Arabidopsis thaliana: one gene and its partner. The protein of the gene in region 1 interacts with the protein of each later gene in a biochemical or structural test. Each region holds a gene or a part of one and is shown in the gene's direction. Other genes may lie near its edges.

Region 1 (7,627 bases):
TAGAGAGCTGTGAGATTTCCTCAATCCCGTTACTTAGAATTTTAGTATGGAAGATTCGATTTATCAAACTAAGCTAACAGCACAATTATAAAATTACAACAAATCAAGCTTTACGGCAAAGTGTTGACCATGATCCTATTAGCAAGTGATTAATTTAATTAGTATATCTACAAATTCGATTGCCTAACTTTTTTTTGACATTGGATCGCCTAACTTTAACAATACAACATTTATATTATCCATTTTCTACAAACCAATGAACTATCGACTCATGTCTTGTTCCCTCTCACAAGCCCATGTTTCGCCCAAGGAAGCATTAGTCAAACTTCAAATCCCAACTTAAACTAAAGTAATTAACTAAATTAGTTATTTTCAAATACTTTAATTATGATAATTAAGAATAGTTTTAGAAGATGCTTACCATTTTCTCTTCCCCACTGATATACCACCACGTGCGCATTTTGGAATTGCTAGTACGTGTGACGTGTCCATGAGAAGGTTGGCATTGCCAATACGATTAAAACTCTTGCCGTTTCAAAGAAAAATCGACACGTGTGTTTCGGGCTCACCAAAACTAAGATATTTTTATGGAATTTGTTTTAATATTTCCTGAAAAGGAAAGGACTGCTAAAACAAAAAAGAAAGGATTAGCTTTAGAATGATTGATTTGATTTCATTAATAGCCAATATTACAAAATATCCCAATGAGAGTCCAACTATTGATTGCTTTAAGAAGGGAACTCAGTCTAAAAGTCACATGATTAATAGTTTAATACACTAATACACATTTTCAATGAAATTATGATTGTGTTATATGACTATAATCTATCACCAAACGTTATATTCTTTCCCGTTTATAAAGAATTCTCTCTTTTGTATATATACTTCATATCTACTTGTCTTGTCTTGTGATATATATTTCATATCTATATAGTTTCAAAACATTTAGGCATTGAAATTTTATCAAAAAAAAAAAAATATCACAAAAGTACTGATAACACATTGGTAAATTATTGTAAATTTGTAATACAGGTTATCCAATTATTCTCAGGTCCGTTGAATTCTAAAAAAAATTGTGCGGAAAAATAAGAGATATATTTTCTTCAAAATCTCTTTTTAGATTTTCTCTACTATAAAAAGGTGACAAAAACACAAAAACACAAAAACGAATGACACCTATTTACAAGAATCTGCTTGTGAATAAAAACACAAAACGAACGACGACTAAGTGCTTTTTAAGTTAAAATTGAGCTAGTCTTTTTCCTAAGAGAAACGACCAAATATCAGAAACAAAACCGAAGTAGGATTCTACTTGTGAAAAAGATAACTAAAGCGATGAAAAAGTCAAAAGTAAAACAAAACTCAACATCAAAAAGAATAGAGTAGTATATATGCTTCATGAGCCGCCCCATCCTAGCATGAGGAAGATCGAGAACCTCTTCGTCCAATTCATAAGCGTATAAGTGCTTGATATTGAAGACATTCGTGGTGTGAATATGTGGAGAAGCTTCAAACGGTATGCATTGAAATTTAATTTCTCAACGACCTCTAGCATACCAATTTTCTAGCTAGGCCTTAATCTTATTGTACTCTTGAGCCAGAAAACGGTCTTTGGGTAAGACAATACACCCTAACCTATTACGGACACTAAATTGAACATCATGCCAATGTTTCTTTACATTTTATTTGTACTTGACCGAAGTCATTACTAAAGTGCCATGAGATCGATTGTGTACACGAAGCAACTCATCCTTAAAATCCACCACACTACCATGAAAACAATATGGGTATAGAAGTAAGGCAAAATCATTCGAACAACAAGAGATGAAACCATAAATTATATGTAACAGACAGAACCTGAGCTTCCATTGATTGTGTGATTGCTTGCAATTTCAACAAATCATATTGCCTAATGCCTGATTCGCGACTTATTTATATGGATAATACACATAGTTACTCATGTATACAACATCTTCTATAAAGATTTTAAAAATATTTCCAGTTACATGATAACATGAAAAATGATTAGTTCTATGGTTACATATTGTCATTCTTTTGAATGTATGCATCTAACCTTCTAGAGTCATTGTGCTCCATTATTGTATCTCTATTAACGGTTACCATCAAAATTTTTGCATGTCATTTTACCTTGTAAATTTATTACAAGAATAATAAAAACCCCGATTACAATTCGAAAGAAAGTAAATCCGACGACCCGAGTAATTGATAAAAATTTAACCCAAAAATAAAATCGATGGTGCCACACGCTATGTCTTGAAATGGTTTTATTAAGGTTTTCTTGAAATGGATCTTGAAAATCTTCCAAGAATTGTTAAATATGTCATGCTATATCATATATGTCATGATCAATAAATAAATAGTGATAACTGATAAGTGACTACTTTTGAATGTATGCATCTAACCTTCTAGAGTCTTACATTCTCTTTGGTGCTATAAATTTTATTTCTCTTTTGCAACTTGTCAAACTTATATATCTTGCTCGTTTTAAGTCTAGAAAATCAGATTTTTTTTTTTAATTTGAAAAAAAGAGTATGAAAAACGTAATTATTACTTCACCTTTCAATAACGATCCAAATTTCATTCCAGCCATATACATACGATTTTTTATATATTTTTATAAATCAAACGAAATGACGCTAAGAAAAAATAGAGTGCACATGTTGTAGCAATGCAAATGACAACCTCGTATGAACAAAACACGTGATTCGATCATGAAAAGAAAATACTTGACATATAATATGGCGAAGGTAAGTAAAGTTGTTCAAAATGTCTTCAAAGTCTAACTGAATTTCATCATCAACATCCTCATCATTCATCATCATTACCACCTTCACATGGAAATCGATTTTCTATCCAAACTTTCATTGAATTTTTAATATATAGTTTTAGATATTAGTATTATAAACGAAAAAAAAAAAAGATATTAATATTATAATTTCTTATAACGGTAGACACTGGAATAAGACAAGAGGACCAGTTGCTTTAATAATATAAAAATATACTTTACAAGGTTCATGCATGCATACATTGTTTTCACGAGATGGATAACATTTGTTAAACAAATAAAACAAATTATATGTAACCATGTGAACTTTTTTCTTTCTAATACTTATCCTAAATAACAACACCAATAATAGTGACCCGTACCGTAAGAATAGTAAATGTAAAAAAAGTCATTCTTTTTGTTAAAAAGAAAGACCAGTAAAAAGTCATTCTCTTCAAACCATTCACACTGAATTATTATATTTACAATCCCATTATATTAGTAACCTTACGTATTAGTACCAAATTTATAACTCGAAACTACTATAAATGAATAATCACATAGTTTCAATTATGAATTGTTATCAAATCAATAATCACAGTTTACTAAACAGGTAAAATCTAACCGTTGATAATGAGATAAAGAATGGACAAAAACATCACGATTTAATGTGATAAGAACAATCTTATCACATAAACAAAAAAAGGGACAGGGAGTTACAGGTGAAGTGTTCCTGGTCAAATTGAAACTTGGAAATAATAAAGTTCTTGAAATAGAAAGGTTTATTTTTAATTGAAAACGATATTTGAGAATCACACATCTTAAGTTGCCTAACAATCTACGCATCTTCTTCTTTTCTCTATCCTATTAAGAAAACTAAAAATAGCATTTTCTGATTTAAAATATGATTTGATAGTTGTATTAGATTTAAACGCGAAACCTCATGTATATACATAATAATATATTTATTAGAAGTAAGATAACAGATTTTCTTTTTCTTTATAGTAGGTAAAACTCTTGAATTTCAATACAAATAATTGTTCTAAAGAAGAACTTGATACGAAAAAATTGACCAATTATTGGTCAATATATTAAAAAGAATAAATTATTTTAGTGTTCTTATTTCTCAAATGAAAACTAGTATATAGAGAGGAGCTTCGTTGCTCAAACACTTTCCTCTCTCTTAAAAACCTCAACTTTCTTCTCTCTTCTCAAAAACCCTTCCCTCTTCGTCTCCAAACAACAACAAACACAACAACAACAAAAATCTTACAAGAAGATCATTTTTAGAAACCCTATTAGGATAAAATGGATTACGAGGCATCAAGAATCGTCGAAATGGTAGAAGATGAAGAACATATAGATCTACCACCAGGATTCAGATTTCACCCTACTGATGAAGAACTCATAACTCACTACCTCAAACCAAAGGTTTTCAACACTTTCTTCTCTGCTACTGCCATTGGTGAAGTTGATCTCAACAAGATTGAGCCTTGGGACTTACCATGTAAGTTTCACACCTTATCTTTCTATTTCCTCAAGTCTTTTGTTTGTCTTCTTTCTACCATTAAACTCATGGTTCTGAATTCTGATACATGGCTGGTTTTGTTGGAACAGGGAAGGCTAAGATGGGAGAAAAAGAATGGTATTTCTTCTGTGTGAGAGACCGGAAATACCCGACCGGTTTAAGGACAAACCGGGCGACAGAAGCCGGTTATTGGAAAGCCACAGGAAAAGACAAAGAGATATTCAAGGGAAAATCACTTGTGGGTATGAAGAAAACTTTGGTTTTCTATAAAGGAAGAGCTCCTAAAGGAGTTAAAACCAATTGGGTTATGCATGAATATCGTTTAGAAGGCAAATATTGTATTGAAAATCTTCCCCAAACAGCTAAGGTAATAACATTAAGAGATTTTGTGTGTTTCTGTCTTTTGTTTTTTTTGGGGACTTGAAATTAATTCTTTTGTTTGGTTGTTTGTGAATGTAGAACGAATGGGTTATATGTCGTGTTTTCCAAAAACGTGCCGATGGTACAAAGGTTCCAATGTCAATGCTTGATCCACACATTAACCGAATGGAACCAGCCGGTTTACCTTCGTTAATGGATTGTTCTCAACGAGACTCCTTCACCGGTTCGTCGTCTCACGTGACCTGCTTCTCCGACCAAGAAACCGAAGACAAAAGACTTGTCCACGAGTCCAAAGACGGTTTTGGTTCTCTGTTTTACTCGGATCCTCTGTTTTTACAAGACAATTATTCGCTAATGAAGCTGTTGCTTGACGGTCAAGAAACTCAATTCTCCGGCAAACCTTTCGACGGTCGTGATTCGTCCGGTACAGAAGAATTGGATTGCGTTTGGAATTTCTGAGTTGTATAAGTTATGTTGTAGACTTGTAGTAGTCATGTGTTCGTGTGTGTGAATGAATATTCTTGTTACATTTTTTTGTAAAAAAGGAGAAAAAAATATGCTAGAAAGTCAATTGCTTTTGTTATGTAGCATTAGTGTTTTTTATGTACTCAATAGACTTCCTAATTAAATAAAAATCTTAATTTATTTGCCATGTACAATGCTAAAGTCAAGTTAACACATTTAAATAAAATTTTATTTTTAAAACACACAAAGAAGGTAAGAAAATATAATATGAAAATTTTAAAACACATACATAATTATTTTATATTGGTGTGAAGTTTTTGTTTTTATAAATTTGAAACTAGAGTAGTTAGAAGCCAAATTTGTTTACTGTTCTTCTCAATGACGAAATTTTACATGACATATGTTAGGCCACCAACCAAAGAGTTGATATTATGACTTATGAGTATTTAACAAAGTTTCATAGATATTTATCATTATTATATTGTTATGTCAAACTTAACATGTTTAGGTGATCATCTTGTTTTCATACTACCTAAATGTTTTCCCAATTTCTAATTTGGACATTTTCGTTTAGCAAAATGATAATGTTCCCAACGTAACCCTAAGATCGATAACATGTTTTTGGAAAAAAAAAAAGAAAGAGAGAGCTTACAACTACATCAAAATGAAACATGAACATGTGTGATATATATAAATAAGTAAATAACATGTGTGAATTAATTTTGCAACGCCGCCAGTAACTCAATTACATGCACAATACGCAACTTTATACCAACTTCCTCATCGGATAATATTATTACGTCTCCAAATCTTCTTGCGTTCCTCTGGCCATTGATAACATATGTTTAAAAATAAAATTGCATATGGCTTATAAATACTTTGAGATGATCATAGTCTTAGTTCATGTTTCTCTTCAAGTTTGTTATTTACTAAACAAACAATAAACATGATCGATAGTATAACATTTTACGTTTTCATATTTTTAAAAAGTAATTCTACTATATATACAGGCGTCTTAAAATTATTAAAAATCAAAAATACAACATCATTAATCTGCTGTACTATTTATTTTACATTATGTGACTATTTTTCAAAAACTTTATTCATTTTAGTTCATTCTGCTATCAATTATTTTTTTCTTTCGCTATTATTCAGTTTAATTGACATACCAGTCAGATTTAGTATTATTAAACCGATATATATATATATATATATATATATATATTTTTAATATATAAAAAAGATAGCTAGTAAAGAAAATAATAATCAGAAATTAGCTATCATATAAAAATTAATAAAAATGTTTATACATTTGATACAACTTGGTACATCATTTTTAATCTGAACATATCCTTCAATATTTTTCTACCAAAAAATATTGTGTTTTTAAACTATCTTATTCTAGTATCCTCTATAAACGTTTCTAAAAAAAAACTAAAAATTTGTTTAAGTTTTCAAATTCTAAAAATTACAGATTTTCATTTCAATAGTCATATAGGCGGCCTAAATCCAATAATTGAACTATTGAAGTCACTAGTAATGAATTTGAATTTATGTATATCACTTGTATGAGTGAATTTTCTTGTCTTTGATATTGATTGTCAATTTTTATTTGTTTTTTTCTTCTAAATTTAAATTATTGTTGAACCAAGGATTCACACAATAGATTTGTTTAGAGAGGGAAAACAAATCTAATAATTTTTCTTCATTAGGTATTCTATCCAAGACTCGATAATAAAAGAGGTTCTAATCTCTTCTGAAATACATTAGGGTTTGCTCAAGAACAGAAAAAGAATTAGGGTTTTAAAAAGGTATAGCTGCATCCATAATGGATTGCCTACGTACCCTGTGAAGGGATCAAGCCATTCGTAGTTCTCAATATGTATAAAGTTATGCGTTTCTTGTGAGTATCCAAAGATCCCCCCTTTGTGAAGTCCCTAAGGCACTTTATATAGGATCCTTAAACCGCCTCCCTACCGATATTCTTCGGAAGATTCTTATTTATCCTTAGGTCGATTCTAGAGGATAATCGTCCTAAGGATATTCTCCTTATTCTTCGGAGGTTTTGGGGAGATTTCCTGATTTCGACATTATCTTCAAAGATTCTCCTTTATCATTTCCGAAAGTCCCATAAAAGATCCTATTTTACCGGAAAAGATCCTTGGAGAATGAATGGTTTTTACAAGTCTTTGCCTCGCGTGTTTTTCACGGCTCGGTGGTCGTTTGAGAGGTGGCTTCGGGGCAAACGGTATGTACCGGCTCGGGGCGCGCTTGATGACTCCATTAAGCTCAGTTGGCTGTCTCCCGAGCCGATATAGATGTTTCCCGCAGCGTTCTCACGATTGGCTCGGGCTGTGTTCATATGATTAACACCCGAGCCATTTTACAAACTCTCTTCGGGACGGTCGATCGAATAAGGTCCCGAGGTGCTTTGTTCTAGGCTAGGGGCCATTTATATGTTTAACTAT
Region 2 (8,594 bases), 1.9 Mb from region 1:
TATTAATTGGATCGACAAGGCCAATCTATAAACAAAAACCCAAAATACGGACTAATGCAACTATCTATATGGAATCGAATTTCGGTGGATATTAAACCACTTGACTAAAAAATTTCTCTATTCGACATATATATTTGTTCATCGAGTTATTAGTTTTACAATCACACAGTAACAATAAAGAGATCCATTATTGGTTGCTTGTATACCAAACTCATAGTATACCAAACTCGTCTAAAAGATTTGGGAAAGCTACCGCTCATAAGAAACTATGGTAAGTTGGTATTGAACACAACTTATCTCACATTTCTTACAATCTATCCTTTTTAAAAGGATATTACTCAGCATAATTCGTCTCATATTTCTAATAATTCATTTTTCTTAAAAGGATATTGACATAACTCACATTAATGTTTCATTTACTTTTTACGGCTTACTGCCCTGCAAGCCCAAGCTTCCTTGTGGCCCCTCAAGCCCAAGCTAGTTTGGGCTCATGGCCAAATTTATATTTTATTAATAATGGAAGTCATGAATAATAATCTGTATTAGCGATTCCTGAAGAATTAAGATATGTCAGCTCTCTGTTTTCAAATTAGTTAAACAAACAAATTTTAATATGAGGTGAATAATCTTCTCATGTCTCTCGTTTTCCAGGGAAAGTCGTATAGGATCCATGCATCTTCCTACAACAAAATATTAAACCCCAAGCCTAATCACATTCAAACGTTTAAGGCCAAAACATCTATTACCCGAAGTAATATTTATCTAAACGATGGAAAATACATTTTTTCACTCAAAAGAGATGGGTTTGTTATTAATATATGCCTTTAAGCACTTTACATACCAAAAATATTCAATTGAAATAATCTCATTTATCCGGTTTTGTAATCTTATTATTATAATTTATGATTTTTGTACCACCAAATATTGTGGCATACCTATATATGATCTCATTCCTCTTTATTTTGAAGTGCCTAGAACACTAGTCTTCTTCTTTTCATGGTTACGAAAATGTTTACAGAAAATCATGGATGATTCAAGAAAATAGACCACTTTTTGAGATACTTTTCCGTAAACCCTAAGTATATCCATAATATCTCTACATTGACCAATGACAAATAGTAGTTTAGATATTGATGGACTTATGGGAGCTAGTTTTTATTATTAACTAGATTTTAACCCGCGGTATACCGCGGGACGATTTATTTTTAAAAGTAATATATATTAAAACTTGCAAATTTTATTTTTACAAAATATTTATATTTTACAGTTTATAATTGTTATTAAGTAACGCTATACCACGAATTCATGAGACAATTGTTAAAAAAACTGAAGTTTTGACCCCTATTAAAACAGCATATTAATAATATTTTAAAATTTTATAAATATTGATTCAAATACATCCACCATATAACCCAATTCCAAAATAAAACACGTTCTGTAATTTCTTTACCCGTCCCATGATTATTTTTTTAAGTAGTAATTTTTAAAATTTTAGAATTATTTTTATATATAAAAGTTTTGCAAATTGTATCATTCTCTAATACATTTATATTTTATAGTTTAAATTAAATTAATTAAAATTTAGATATCAAATCTTATAAGTTGATTTTGATTGGCTATTATTTTTAAAAATTAATAATGTATTTCGTTTTTAATTAATTAAATTAATTAAATTAGTATTTGACTTTTTAATCCTTAAAGAGATAAATTAATTTACTCTTTAAAATTTTATTTCTAATGGCATACCTATGTAATTACTTACAAAAATTAAGGTTACATTTAAAATGTACTTCCCAAATAATATAGTAGGATAAATTGTTTTATCTATGATTTATGAATATCCACATCAGTTCTGTAAAAAATAAAACTAAAAGAAAAACCAAGGAGAAAACAAATCGCCTTGTAAAAAACCGTTTTTGATAAATGTAACATTTAGGTTTTGTGTTAGTTAAGATCCGAAACAAGACAAATCTTATACACGCCATAATCCAGTATGTCGAAATCTACACCGTATTAATTATTGCTACTATGAACAACCATTCTATCCGATCATAGACTTTACTCTTATTTGTCGTTATTATCATAAAATGTCGTTTAAATAAATTATTTGTAGGATACCAATTCTTTAATTATATTAGTTCAAACACGTATAATTTTGGTGGTTTTTGAGGATGAATATCATCAAAGATAAATGCATTTTGGTGAAATAAATAATCAAATAATTATTTTAAATTATCTTTATGCACCACTATTTTTAATAAATTGGACTCTTACAACGTTTTCCTTAAAAAAAATCATGGATCTTAAAACTTATACCCAAACAAATATGTAGAAAATTATTATTATATATATAAATATATATATATATATATAAGCTATACAAAATCTTATTATATAGTAGTAGCGCTTGATTCTAAAATAGCATAATTAGACGAAAAAGCATGCATTTTGTAACATTTTATACTTTGTAAGTAAAACACATAAAAAATAATTTTATGAATAAGAAATCCACATAAAAAAAAAAAGAAGTAACATACTGTGAAAAATTAGGAAACTTTTTGAGGCACCAATTTTTTATGCCACTTTCAAAAAAGCATTAATGAAAATTTGTTTAAAATATCATTTTAAAATTTGACGTACAAAAGTACAAAACCTCATACAATTTCAAAACTTTACAAAGACTCAATAACATGTGTTATAGAGACTTTATAAACTTTCTTATAACATACTCTATAATTTTTTATATCCATATATTTGTGATATTTTTGAAAATGGATAAAATAAATTTGATATTTTTATAAATAGAAAATATTAATGGTATTTTTGAATTTTTCCCAAAATAATTATTAGTCTTATACTCCAAAATGTAAAAAAAAATCACTTTTTATTAAAAAAATACTTACGCATTTGCTTAATTGCTAGTCGTCAAAGTTTTGTCATTTTATGCAAATACTAAAAAAATGTAGAAAGCATTTCCTCTTTATTTTTGGGACAACCAAGAAAGGAGCATTTCAATAGTGTATACATAGACAAAAATATTTCTCATTTCCTATATTTGACTCTTTAAATCTTTAATAGCTCTTGTAATTTTTTCCATTCATTGTAATACAGCCATAATGTTTAAAAGGAAACTGTCAATTATAAACTTATACTAGAATATAAAATATGGTATTGAATTGAATATTTTCAAAAATAAAATATTAAATTTACGAAAAGAATAAAAAAACTTAAAAATCTCTCTCTCCTATCTCTCAACCACAACTTATTTTTCATGTCAGTATCCACCAACACATATATACGGCATATAAAAGATTTTAATAAAACCTTGGAACTATCTATATCTATTCAGACACACACGTCTATATATATATATACACTCATATACTACTTTCACTGTATCATTCTTGTTTTCTCTAAATTTTTCAAAAAACCTTTAGAATTTTCATTTTTTTACGATTCCGATGTTAACTGTTTCTCCGGCTCCAGTACTCATCGGAAACAACTCAAAGGATACTTACATGGCGGCAGATTTCGCAGATTTTACGACGGAAGACTTGCCGGACTTTACGACGGTCGGGGATTTTTCCGATGATCTTCTTGATGGAATCGATTACTACGACGATCTTTTCATTGGTTTCGATGGAGACGATGTTTTGCCGGATTTGGAGATAGATTCGGAGATTCTTGGGGAATATTCCGGTAGCGGAAGAGATGAGGAACAAGAAATGGAGGGTAACACTTCGACGGCATCGGAGACATCGGAGAGAGACGTTGGTGTGTGTAAGCAAGAGGGTGGTGGTGGTGGTGACGGTGGTTTTAGGGACAAAACGGTGCGTCGAGGCAAACGTAAAGGGAAGAAAAGTAAAGATTGTTTATCCGATGAGAACGATATTAAGAAAAAACCTAAGGTGTGTTTATTTCCCAATTATCCATGTTAGATTAGTTTATTTTTTTTCTTCTTTAAAGGTAAAAAATCCCATTAAGAAATCACCAACCTTTTTAAGGATTTCATTAAAAAAACATAAACTTCTAGTGTTTCTGAATATTTTTTTTACAAAGTTAGTGAATTAGTGTATTTATCATATACACAATTATTATTAAGTTTGATAACTGGAGTAGATCTAGGACCAAAACCAAGTTTTGTGTAGTAGGACTATACAAATTTGTGTGTTTATTTGGACTAAATATTTTTTTTTATAAAACTGTAAGACAATTTTCTATAAAAAAAATGAATTCCTTTTTTTTCTTTTCATTTATTGATTAATTAATATATTGTTCCGGCAAATCAGGTGGATTGGACGCCGGAGTTACACCGGAAATTTGTACAAGCGGTGGAGCAATTAGGGGTAGACAAGGCGGTGCCGTCTCGAATCTTGGAAATTATGAACGTTAAATCTCTCACTCGTCACAACGTTGCTAGCCATCTTCAGGTAAATTTTAGACTAAAACTATACAAACTAATTTTAACAGGAATTAATCAAGTGCTATAACCCCTAACATAGTAATTACCTAATTTATAGATTACATGTTTTTCCTTCAAAATTTTTTATGAAAAGACAAGTAAAATACTAACCAACTCAGATTTGTGTAATAAGATTAATTTGTGTTGTGTTCTTCTTGTAATGATAGAAATATAGGTCACATCGGAAACATCTACTAGCGCGTGAAGCAGAAGCTGCCAGCTGGAATCTCCGGAGACATGCCACGGTGGCAGTGCCCGGAGTAGGAGGAGGAGGGAAGAAGCCGTGGACAGCTCCTGCCTTAGGCTATCCTCCACACGTGGCACCAATGCATCATGGTCACTTCAGGCCTTTGCACGTATGGGGTCATCCTACGTGGCCAAAACACAAGCCTAATACTCCGGCGTCTGCTCATCGGACGTATCCAATGCCGGCCATTGCGGCGGCTCCGGCATCTTGGCCAGGTCATCCACCGTACTGGCATCAGCAACCACTCTATCCACAGGTAATAATAATTCATTTGTAAAAATGTTACATGTTTTTCCATTATTAGTTGTATGGTTAAATCATGAAAAATAATCGAAATGACATAACTAAATCAGCTTTGTTGAACAATCATGACACTGCAAAAAGCTAGTCTTTGTACACTATTGGCTTTTTAACACATGCAACATATATAAGTATAAAACGGAATCATTGAATTAGATTGTGGTTTTGTCTAACAACGCAATTAGTAAAAGATTGCAAGATCATGAATCATTTTTATGTAGACAACTAATAAAGATTTAGAGCTATGAATTATGTATGGATTTTACAAAAACATATTTCTAATCATGGTTTATGTGTATATATGTGTAGGGATATGGTATGGCATCATCGAATCATTCAAGCATCGGTGTTCCCACAAGACAATTAGGACCCACTAATCCTCCCATCGACATTCATCCCGTGAGTGCACCTTTTTTGGTTTCAATTTTGTTTATTAGATTTTGATTATGACATAACCCAAAAAAGTTTTCGAATAAATTTTGGATAATTAACAATATTTCATTACTTGACGGTTGCAGTCGAATGAGAGCATAGATGCAGCTATTGGGGACGTTATATCAAAGCCGTGGCTGCCGCTTCCTTTGGGACTGAAACCGCCGTCGGTTGACGGTGTTATGACGGAGTTACAACGTCAAGGAGTTTCTAATGTTCCTCCTCTTCCTTGAGAAAGATCTCCAAAATTTGTCGAAATCTCAAACTTTTAACTTCATTTTTTTGGTATCTTCTATGTATTTTTGCAAGGGAAAGACGATAAATCCTTGTTGCTTGATCATATGTATTTCTCTATATGAGTGCATGTATCGAAGTTAAGCAACTTTAATATATCGTTATAATCTTCGATAGCAGAATCTGTAATTTTTATTAACTTTCAACTCCCGAAGCATCATTGCAAAATGACTAAATGCAACACTTTTTGGGGTTAAAAATGCTTAACATTTTAAAACATTACTATCATTTATTCAATCAACAATTTATAGTTTTATACAATTGAAAACTAGACGGGATATATATCGCATGTGTTTTTTCAATGGCTTATTTTGTTTTATAATGCCAACTTTCACAGCTATGGATTGTGACTATTTATAATTTCAAAGAAGTCAAATATTTTTAAAACTCAATTAAAGTCCATAAAAAAATTTGCAATTGATAATGTTAACATATCGTGGCAAAAAAAAAAAAAAAGTACAACACATAATTGGAGTTTAGATATACGAATATTCTTTTAATTGGTTCCATGTAAAAAACTTAATTCAAACGGATTCGATTGGTGACACAAAATGGTAAAAACAAAAAAGCGGAAAAAGTTTTAAAAATACTAGAATAGTTGAAAGAAGTAAAAAAAATACAGGTACAAAAAATACAATAGTACAAAAAAATACTAGAATAGTTGTAGATATACTTTTGTGTTTAGTAAACTATTAAAGCATTAAATATTGTACCATGCGATAGAGATTACCAATCAAAAGCCAAAGTGATGATGCAGAATAAGTTAATAACAATTACTTTGGGGTAAGAAGTTTAAATTACTCTTGAATGTAGAAGGCATGAAAGTGGCATGTTTGATGGATTGTGTTTGTCGAGCATTGTGCAGACGCAGCTCAATAACGTTAATTTATATACATTCAACTCTTGAAAGACATTGAAGCTGTATCTTTGGCTTTGACACACTAGCAGCTCTCGATGGAGTTATGCGTGATCTAGTTAGTTACTATATCTCATTCTCCATCAGATAAATGTAAGTTCGTATAATACTTTTTCGGAAGCTTCTAATGCATAAAGGAGCTGTATTTGGACAAATACTTTGAGAAATGTAAGAAGCGTACAATGTGATGAGAAAGAATGATACAAAGTGATTAGTGAGTACTATGGAGGGCCTTCACTCGGCTACTTTAGCCCAATAGACTAGTAATGACATATCAGTTGATCAAGGAGCAAAAGTTAATGAGGACACTGATATTGAACGAAACCACTTAAGAAAGGTTGTAATGAAAATCTAGAAAACCCAAACTGAGTTCAGACTCATCAATCTAAAGATTACATTGACCATTCAGCAACATTGACAACTTCTAAAGTTTTGTTTTAAGATCTTCTCTTCCGATCATCTTCACCATCGTCATCGGAGTCACCGCTCTCACGGAATCGTGGGTTCTTCTCCTGTTACAATCACACAAAATTCCATAGCAGACAGTGTTTTAGCATCAGATACTAAATATACTCGAAACGTTTAGTAAGGAAAAAGAAAAAGGCCTTGTTATTTACCGGTCTCATGTCACTATCAGTGTCTCTCCTAGACTCATGATCTGTGTTTCTTCTTGAGTTATCGCGGCCATAGCGATCATCGTCTCTTTGTCGTTTCCGATGGTAGTCTGCAAAAACATTAAAAACAGTGAATTGTGCTATTGTGGCTGAGGATTACACTATTACTACGCATTATGTCATTTGGGATAAAAATACCTCCTCTTCCATGGCGATTTTGTCCTCCTTGACCATAGTTTCCACCACCACGCCTTCCATTTCCATCTGTGATTAACATATGCAAAAAGCATTTAGGAATCTAGTGTTTTGCAGGCTCTATTTACGGATTCTCACATAATTTGACTTGAATAAGATACTTAACACTAGGACCATATCTTGTTTCACATTTTCACTATCTATTCGAAAGGGAACTGGGAAAACAATAAGCAGATGCTTTGCAAGATAAAGAGTCTTATTCTGAGCACTACAATTCTAAGTAAAGCAACTTAAGACTCGCATTCATGGTACTTTTAGTTCACCATTTGTCCACAGTATAGTGCGAAATCATGAAACCAGGAATAAGATCAAGTAAATTTGGTAGAAAGTTGAAAAAAACATACAATTCGTTGGCGCAGCTTGAGGATAAGCTCCCAATGAGCCAGTACCGTAATCCACGAGCTGCCTTTGTGCTTCGAGTTCCTTCTGAACTAATTTCCCATAACCACCTCTAGGTAATCAATGAGTTAAGGAAAAAACACATGGATTGGCGGGAAATTCATAACCGAGAAATCAATCTTTCCTACCACAAAACAGGTATACTAAACAAGAACAACAGAGTGCATAACTATGCGGACTAAAAGGATATCAGGATCGTAATCTGTACGGTATTCATCACGAACCTGTATGAAATTAGAAAACCATGATGACCTTTTAATTGTAAAGAAACGGTCAGGGAATTACAGAGAGGATGATGCATCTGATGAATACCTGGCCACCGCTTCTACCACGGCCCCATTGTCTTCCTTCTTGGAATCCCCAATCAAAATCCACACGAATAGGCCGGTCATCGAGAATAGTCCCACTTATATACTTGACTGCATCTTCAGTATCCTCTCTAGAGTAGAACCTGATAAAAACAAGACACAAAACCAAAACTCAGCAACCACCATAATGAAACTTACATATAAAACTGTTGAAGATGAAAGCTTACAGGACGAAACAAAAGCCACAAGGTGTTTTAGTGTTCTTATCCAAACCCATGATGATCTTTTTGATTTCTCCAGCTCTAGAGAAAAGCTCGTAAAGCTGTTCTTCAGTAGTGTAAAAAGACACATTGCCAATGTAAACCGT

Evidence for each region.
Region 2: the proteins of NAC6 (region 1) and GLK2 form a complex in vitro, tested with the Arabidopsis thaliana proteins (one study listed by BioGRID).

What each region holds. Positions count from the first base shown.
Region 1 is NC_003076.8:15,856,117-15,863,743, reverse strand, and holds NAC6 (NAC domain containing protein 6), read left to right. Parts: upstream 1-3,832; 5' UTR 3,833-4,093; coding exon 4,094-4,292; intron 4,293-4,402; coding exon 4,403-4,680; intron 4,681-4,772; coding exon 4,773-5,153; 3' UTR 5,154-5,346; downstream 5,347-7,627. UniProt on the Arabidopsis thaliana protein: Transcription activator that binds to DNA in promoters of target genes on a specific bipartite motif 5'-[ACG][CA]GT[AG](5-6n)[CT]AC[AG]-3'. Promotes lateral root development.
Region 2 is NC_003076.8:17,794,974-17,803,567, forward strand, and holds GLK2 (GOLDEN2-like 2), read left to right. Parts: upstream 1-3,307; 5' UTR 3,308-3,461; coding exon 3,462-3,908; intron 3,909-4,289; coding exon 4,290-4,430; intron 4,431-4,629; coding exon 4,630-4,965; intron 4,966-5,318; coding exon 5,319-5,408; coding exon of another isoform or gene 5,409-5,453; exon of another isoform or gene 5,454-5,527; coding exon 5,528-5,674; 3' UTR 5,675-5,953; downstream 5,954-8,594. Other genes in the region: CBP20 (CAP-binding protein 20), read right to left, coding at 7,089-7,163, 7,269-7,375, 7,464-7,529, 7,865-7,975, 8,110-8,143, 8,232-8,370, 8,455-8,594.